2 linked regions of the Drosophila melanogaster genome follow. The protein of the gene in region 1 purifies or fractionates together with the protein of each later gene. This does not show direct contact. Each region holds a gene or a part of one and is shown on either strand. Other genes may lie near its edges.

Evidence for each region.
Region 2: the proteins of ATP6AP2 (region 1) and fz2 purify together in Drosophila melanogaster (affinity purification with western blotting; one study listed by BioGRID). This does not show direct contact.

The regions. Positions count from the first base shown.
Region 1 is NT_033777.3:9,258,568-9,262,498, forward strand, and holds the start of ATP6AP2 (ATPase H+ transporting accessory protein 2), read left to right. Parts: upstream 1-2,070; 5' UTR 2,071-2,157; coding exon 2,158-2,200; intron 2,201-2,423; coding exon 2,424-2,776; intron 2,777-3,038; coding exon 3,039-3,605; 3' UTR 3,606-3,931. Other genes in the region: Ibf1 (insulator binding factor 1), read left to right, coding at 481-620, 687-774, 1,065-1,136, 1,201-1,389, 1,444-1,683. UniProt on the Drosophila melanogaster protein: Multifunctional protein which functions as a transmembrane receptor in the planar cell polarity (PCP) and is involved in the assembly of the proton-transporting vacuolar (V)-ATPase protein pump.
Region 2 is NT_037436.4:19,233,028-19,236,958, forward strand, and holds the start of fz2 (frizzled 2), read right to left. Parts: upstream 2,347-3,931; 5' UTR 1,987-2,346; exon of another isoform or gene 1,778-1,986; intron 1-1,777. Other genes in the region: CG33647 (uncharacterized protein), read left to right, coding at 3,333-3,407, 3,467-3,784, 3,851-3,931. UniProt on the Drosophila melanogaster protein: Receptor for Wnt proteins.

The sequences.
Region 1 (3,931 bases):
TTTGAATCATCTGTGAAATGACTGAATTGTAAAAAATGACTTTGTCTGGGTCATAAATAACAAATTTTTGAAAAGAATAAGTTTAATATTTAGCTTTGTATATTTAACGATTAATTAATCGGGCAGTAAATAGTACCATGAATGTATCTGAAAATATATGCGTGGAACCTTTAAAAAATAGACTATATTGAAGGGCGTTCATATATTACAAATACATATAAGTAAAATTAAGAAGCAAATCCTTTTAAAAGTTTACTACTTCACCCGTTATATACATATAAAATTATTTCTGATCTTTATTAAATATCGTTTTGACTAAAAGAAACGCATCGAACTGATCAATATCAAAATGGTTTTATCGATATGTCGATACATGTCTATCGTATGCAAGCGTGGATTTTACATGCATCTGTAGTGAAGCCATTTTTATTTGCATCGTGTATAGTACATTGGAATTTACTGCGATTGTTGTATTTTAAAATGCCCCGAAAGAAGTCCGAGGATTTTTACAGAACCCACGGATTTACCGCCAATTTGGAGAATGGCAAATACTCGGCCACCTGTCACTTCTGCGAAAAAGTACTCCAAAATACGGCGCTATCCCGGCTATCGTTACACAGGTAACCATACAAACATACACCAAACATTGTGTTTACATGCGTCAAGTAATTCTCATTAAATTGTAGGCAAACCTGCGATGCCCGGCGAAGTAGAAGCGCTGTAGTGTACACTTCTGCCGACGAGAAGGATCATGACGAGGCTCCTAGGATAAAGGTAATTCGATGCTTCCAATTTGGATACATTGGATGTATGTATATGTCTGGTGTAGGACGTCAGTGGACAAATGCACTTCAAAATAAATCCCAAAGATACTTTGCACACTATAATGTCAACCCCAAGTAATTTGACAAATATTCGGTTCGAACTTTGTCCGAATACAATATATAGTGCTTAATGATTTGACTTTTGAAATTACTAACCCATATCGTCTCATATGAACATTCATATGTAAATTAAATGTTACTTATATATCGCTAATGCTCTAAAATATATTTTTTATGCAGATCCAGAAGATTTCGGGCGACGATGATGGCGGCCTGGATAATGCCAACGAAGGCAAGGAGATCATTGTTAAGGTGAGTAGGTGAAAAATGCGTAAACTAAATCAAATACTTACATTATGGTTATTTTTCATTCCAGATACAACAAATTCTGGACGATGCTGACGAGGCTGAGGCGCCCAAGGAGCAACCCAGAGTGAAACGAGAAATTCGCAAAAGGAAACTGACCAAAACGGAAGAGTCTGGCGAGCAAAATTTGGAATTTGAAATTTCCAACGTTGAAATTAAAAATCCCGAATACTCTGAGTACCTGGACGAAAGCAAAGAAGTAAATATTCACAATTTGATAAGTATCTTAGACATTTTAACGATTATCGAACAGCATTACATATTGCAGCAAAACCCGGATGACTTAGCCAATGGATCGGCGACGATCATCGAGGCCAGGCCAAGAAATGGTTTAGCTGCATTGCGAGCGGAAAAGGCGCGAGCCGAGATCAGTCAGTTCCAGAGTAAGACCAAGTTTCTTAAAACGGAAACGGACAATCTAAAAGTAGAGCGCACACTGACTTTGCTTAAGATTCAGAAGCTTCGATTGGAAATCGACGCCCTACGCGATTAAAATGTATTTTAACTATAGATAACTTTTAAATGTCCGCATGGTGAACCCTTAATTTTTGTTAAGATGACGAAAATGTCTGTCTTGAATTCAACATAGATTTATTACATTTAACTTTGTAAAGGTGATTACAAAATACATTATTTTAAGCCTGATTACTCGAATCTTTTTATTAAATAATAATGTAATAATGCAATGCTTACAAGTGTTATTAAAATCGATGTAATCTAATGCTTACATACATAAATATTACATACATCAAAATTATTGAATAAATAAAAATACATAATAAATAAAACTAGAAATACTAGTACAATCGATAGTTCGCACTCTTCGACAACCCTACTGATACCCATTCGATAACTGACCCCAAGCAACCCTGTTCATCACATGATAGTCAGGGTGATATCGGGGAAGAGAAAAGGTTTTCTTTGCAGTCGTTCGTCATATGATTAAAAGTCCAGCGGAAAACTGAAAATGTTGAGAGTTTTCGTGATTTTCTCGCTGTTTATAGCGGCCAGTAAGTAGATCTACCATCTATAATCAAGTAAAATGCATGCGCAGCAAGTGGAAAGCGGTCACAAAGTGGATATTCTGTACTCATCGATTCCTCTTTGGGGGTGGTGACACCCAGAACTCGGGACTCCAAAGGGCTCCCCACATGCATGCGCAGAATCTTGGACAAAGGAGACGAATATGTTAGATTCTACAGAACTTATGAGCTACGTCTTCCTATTTTGCAGTCAATGCCTCTGGCGAATTCACCGTGCTGAACCGTCCCAAGGCAATCAGTTTCAAGGGCAACGATGCACTGGAAAGCCACTACGTGGGTGATGTACTCTACGCTTCCATGGGCAACGCCGTCAGCGGCGATACCAACTGGAACGGACTGACCATCAACGATCCCTTCAACCTGGCCAAGGGCGTCATTCTGGTGCATGTCCAGGGCATTGGTCACGTGACCACCGCCGGCAACGTCAAGACCTACGAGCTGACAGGCTCCGGAACGGACGCCTCTCTGAACGCCCTGGCCGCCGAACTGGAGGCAGCCAACGAGCCCGTCTGCGATATTAACTTTGAGCAGTTCGACGATGGCGTAAGTGGTGTCTTAAAGGGGAAAAGCACATTTCGTTAGTCAGTTAGCTAATTTGTCAAACCGCAGAAAGCATGATCTTCATCTGAAAGTTCGTTTAAAGAAGCTTCTCTACAATCCGCTATAACTTCCCACAAATATGATAGATAGTTATTAAACCTTAAAAATTAATTAATCACATGATTTATAGAGTGAATCATAGTGCCTTCCCCCTTACGCATATAACGTAGAGACCAATGTATATTTAACCACATATTTTTTATAGGTTCAAGCCTGGAAGTCCTGCTTTGGTGATTTCGAGGCCCCAGCCGCCAAGCCCACCAAGCACCTGAACCCCTCTCTGCACACCGCTGACAAGCAGTTCCTCCAGGAGGTTGGATTCATCAACAGTGCCGCCGATCATCTGGCTGAGATGGCCAAGCCCTCGAATGTCCTGATGCTGCGCGTTTCCGTCGATGGAGTGGCCAAGGCTCATGGCGAGAAGTCCGTGGCCGTGGAGGAGGCCAACAAATTGCTGTCGGCCGCTATCAGCCGCCTGCTTGCTGCCTCCCAGAAGTCCAGCGACTCGGTTCTGTTTGTCCAGACCACGGAGAAGGACGTGGCAGCATCGCGTGCCAAGCGTGATACCATTGCCGCTTCCACCACCAATCCCTACAACCTGGCCGTCTACTACGGCAGCGACTACCCGGTGATCTTCAACATCATCCTGTGGTTCATGGTCGTCTTCGGACTGTCTCTGCTGGCTATCTGCTACGCCATCGCTGCCATGGATCCCGGCAGGGACTCCATCATTTACCGCATGACCTCTACCCGCATCAAGAAGGACAACTAAGGAGGAGCAGGAGGAGTTGAGAAGCGAGAGGAGCAGGAGGAGCGAGAGGAGCTTGCGTTACGCTTTGTTATTTCGTCCCCCTTTTAAGTTGAAATTTGCCAACTTCTACTTCAATCCAACAGCGGATAAATTGTGTGTTTGTGTGTGTGCGGACAGCTGTCGCAGTAGTTGGTTTTATTATCTATAAATAAGTATTAAAAAACTTTTCAGTTTTCAATGCAGTTGCGGGCGTCGCAACAATTCCATAGAAATTTGTTACATTTTCCTGTTTTGTTGTACTTTTTAGGTTTATATATATATACGAATATGCACAACATACTCGCCAA
Region 2 (3,931 bases), on another chromosome or scaffold:
TGGCAGTCGTATAGCGTGTGTTAACCCTTTAAAATACCCAAAAATATATGTGTTCGTACGTGTAAGCCGGGCTATGATAAAAAAGTTGTTTGGAGCGAAATTGTAGGTTCCTTTTTTATGAATGTGCTTTGCGAAGATATAAATGAGACACCAGTGGGTGTGTGGAATAGTTCAAAAGCCATTTGCATTAATGAAAAAGAAAAATATTTCAGTGAAATATTTAATACACTCAATCAGAAGGAAGTAGAGGGAAATTAAAATTAAGATTGGGTTTAATCATTACTTCAAAGAACTAAATAAATATTGCATAATTAGAAATAACAAGAAACAAAAATTAATTATTATTTAGGAAAATAATTAACCAAAATGACCAAATTTCCTATTTATTTAACCCAAACGCAAATATGAATAATATTCTTCGTTGGCCAGAGAATGTAAACATTTCTGCACTTATTGCTTCGACATTCCCTTAGCGTTTTGCATAATTTAACACACGGGTTAGGCTGTGACCCCTGCAAGAGCCACCCCCCGGATTTCCCACCCGCTGAGTCTGGAGCCCGGCCCCGCCCCCATTTCTTGCTAATACCATTCCGCCCCTTTCGACCAGAAGCGGTGCGTGTGCTTGCTGCTCCCATTGAAATGCCAGACTAACTCAATTAGAGTGCGCAGACAGAAGTTGAAGTTGAGTGTTACTTTGACTGCCGGCCAACATGCGAGTGCAAGAAAATATTTATAAATATTTCGAAACATCTGAAACTGCTCCTATTTAAAATGTAGGGAATTAAAGAATGCAATGATGTGGGGAAAAAACTTGAAGACGCGTCTCAATAAACAGACAGCCGGATAAAAGAGTAGGAAACTCGGCAAAAGTATCTAGATACTTTTTGCAGCTAGGTAGCTAGCTATGAGATACTCTCACAAAAACAGCAGCAAAAGCAACAGTGCTGTCTGGCTTGTGAACTCGACTCGTAAATGTACACAGAAAAAAATTGACCTGTCTTGGATCAATTCTTTATTGATTATTTACAACAATCTTATTGTTTTCAACATTATTCCACAAATGCAAAAAAAATCGTTCAAATTTAGACTTTAATTAAAAATAATATTGTCTTTGTTAATGAACTTGAATGAACTTTAATAAAGTGTAATAAGGTGTAATAAGGAAAAAGAAATAAATATTCGAACTTACATTTATAAAAAAAATGTGAAATTCCGAAAAACTTTAACAAAAATGGTCAAGAAATCAACAAGTTAAAAAGTGTATTTTTAGCGTTGTTGGAAATATAAGCTTATGTAAAGTTAAATATATTCTTTTATATTCTGGGCAAAAAAAGCAATATAAAGAGTATTTAGTCCTTTAAAGCTACGTCGAAATATCTACGTTTAACATTTGAATTTATAAAAAGTTTATGTTCTTAAACAAACAACAACTGAAACAAGATGTGTACACTCAAAATTTAAACTTATAAGTGGCTGAGTTTTCCTCCCTGTGTGCGAAAAACACAACAGAAAACAAAAATAAAATGCAAACAACGGAAAAGCGGAAAAAAAGAACTTGGCGTCGTCTGAGTTTAGCTCTCTGTGCTCTCTTTTCTTTTGCAGCTGTGTGAGTGTGTGGCTGTTGTTGTCTTTCCCATTTTCCCGTAGAAAATGTGAATGATTTTCCTTCACTTTCATCAACAGCTGCGCTCACACAAATGCAAGAAGTACTCATTTTCGAATTGCTTTTTGTTATTATTTTAGATACACAAATGAGTTAGCTTTTTCGTATCTTTACCGTTTGGCTGTGTTTTTGTTGTGCTGATTTTATATTTGTTGTGTTTTTGTATAAGTTTATTACTAATATATTTTTATTTGTTTGTATATTTTATTTGCAGATCTCTCGATTTCTCGGTTTTGTGTTCTTCGCCGGCTTGCTATTTTGCAAATGCCGCCGAAATTGCAATCAATTGCAGTTTTATATCTCCAGCTCACACAGATACTCACGCACACTCACACAAACACACACCAATGCGCGACGGCGACTGCGACGCCAACTGCGACTGCGGCGTCGACCGCGCTGCTCACGTCGTATGTCCGTTAATTAAACGCGCGATTTTTTGTTTGTTTCGGTTTTTACATATTATCTTTTCATGTGCTTCTCTCTTTTGTTTTTATTCCGCTTTGTTATTGTTATTAACTATTGTTATCAGCCCTCGGCGCTGCCAACGTCGACTGCGCTGCCTTTCGCGGCTGCTTTTTGGCTTTTTTTATTTCCCGTCTGCGGTGTAAGCGTCTGCGATTTTCACGTTTTTCCTTCTGCCGCGCTGTGTAGTTTTTCCGGTGATTTCCACTTGCCAACTGACTTTCTTCCGACTTTTCCAAACGGCCGGCCGTTGTTTTGCAAAATTCGCAGAGAGAGAGCGATAACGATTAAGAAATGCGGGGGAGGAAAAATAGAGAGATGGAATTACAAATGCGCCGGTCCAAAAAGCTCGCGAAACGATTTGGTAAACGGAACAGAGCTACGTGAAACGTAAGGCCTGCCCGGAATCACGTAACGTAATCACCAAACGAATCACCAAACGTTAATTTTTTGAAACAAGTTTCTGCAAAATAAATAAGTCATTATAAAATATATTAGAGCTATAAATTTATGCAATGTTATTAACGAAAATATTTTGTATGCTAGACTGGTCGAATGGACCAATAAAAAAGTAATTTCGCACCACTTATTCAAAATATGATGAAATCGTCCTGAATCTAACCAAGAAATTAGTCATAGAAATCAAAAATAAATTAAATATAAATGCGTAATAGTATGGATAGCCCATTTAAAGAAGAATTAATAGGTATCAAGATAATTACTTCAAGGGCTTTGATAGAAATTATATTCAGTAAAATCGCGTTCGCAGTAAAATAAAGAAAACGTATAAGTTCTAGCTAAATCATCACTCATCTTAAACCCGTTTTTCTTTTTTAAGAATACAAATTATTTCAATATGTTATTACTAGAAAACTATTATTAAGCTGATTCTAAATGCTTCATATTCGTGCAAATTTGTTTCAGATCTCCCACTCTAATCCGTATTAATTATTATAATATAATATTATAATATATTATAATATAATAATTTTATAGTATTATTTTATACTATTAGTACTTTGCGCATCTCCAACTTGAAAAGTCCAAATAATTTACCGATATTAATGTTCTATCAACAAAAATAAGCAATTACAAATTAGGTAATACACTAATTGAGCACATTAAAAACCCATTTATTTTAAAATATACACACCTACGTGCGTTTGAAATGCATTAGATTTTAGTCTTCAATTAGTTATCCACTAGTATGAACGTCAAAAAGCTTTTTATATTGGTTGACCTGATTCTGGGGACCCTAATCTTGAGCAGTGTTCGTGCAGAGGTCAGTAGTATAGAATCATATATGTAAGTCCTACTACATTAACCTATCTCAACGTATAGAAAGAAGTTTTTATGACGAAAATTGAGTGCCTCAATTATATGCCAGAATTGGTGAGAAACGTAAGCTGCTACTTAAATGAAACTTCCCACCCCACTGGTTCAATATACGCAGAGTTCATATTAACCCAAGATGTTGAGGACCTGAAGGGCATTTACATTTTGACATTTAAGAGAGGTTCATACGTGACGAATTTTACCTCTTCACATGTAGACTATTGTCAGATGCTATCAAGTGTGGAAAATCATTTTTTATTTAGAATGGTTACTACGCAGCTTCGCGAAACCGCCAATTTTCCTATACAATGTCCGTTGAAAATGGTAATTAACACTGGTAAGAAATTGTATAAAACTCTCTAATATCGTATTTTGGAAATTGTGTTTTAGAATAAACGGTATTACGCAAAGGGATTTACAGTTAACTCGAAATTTATACCCAGCTATATGCCAGAAACGAACTTCATTTCG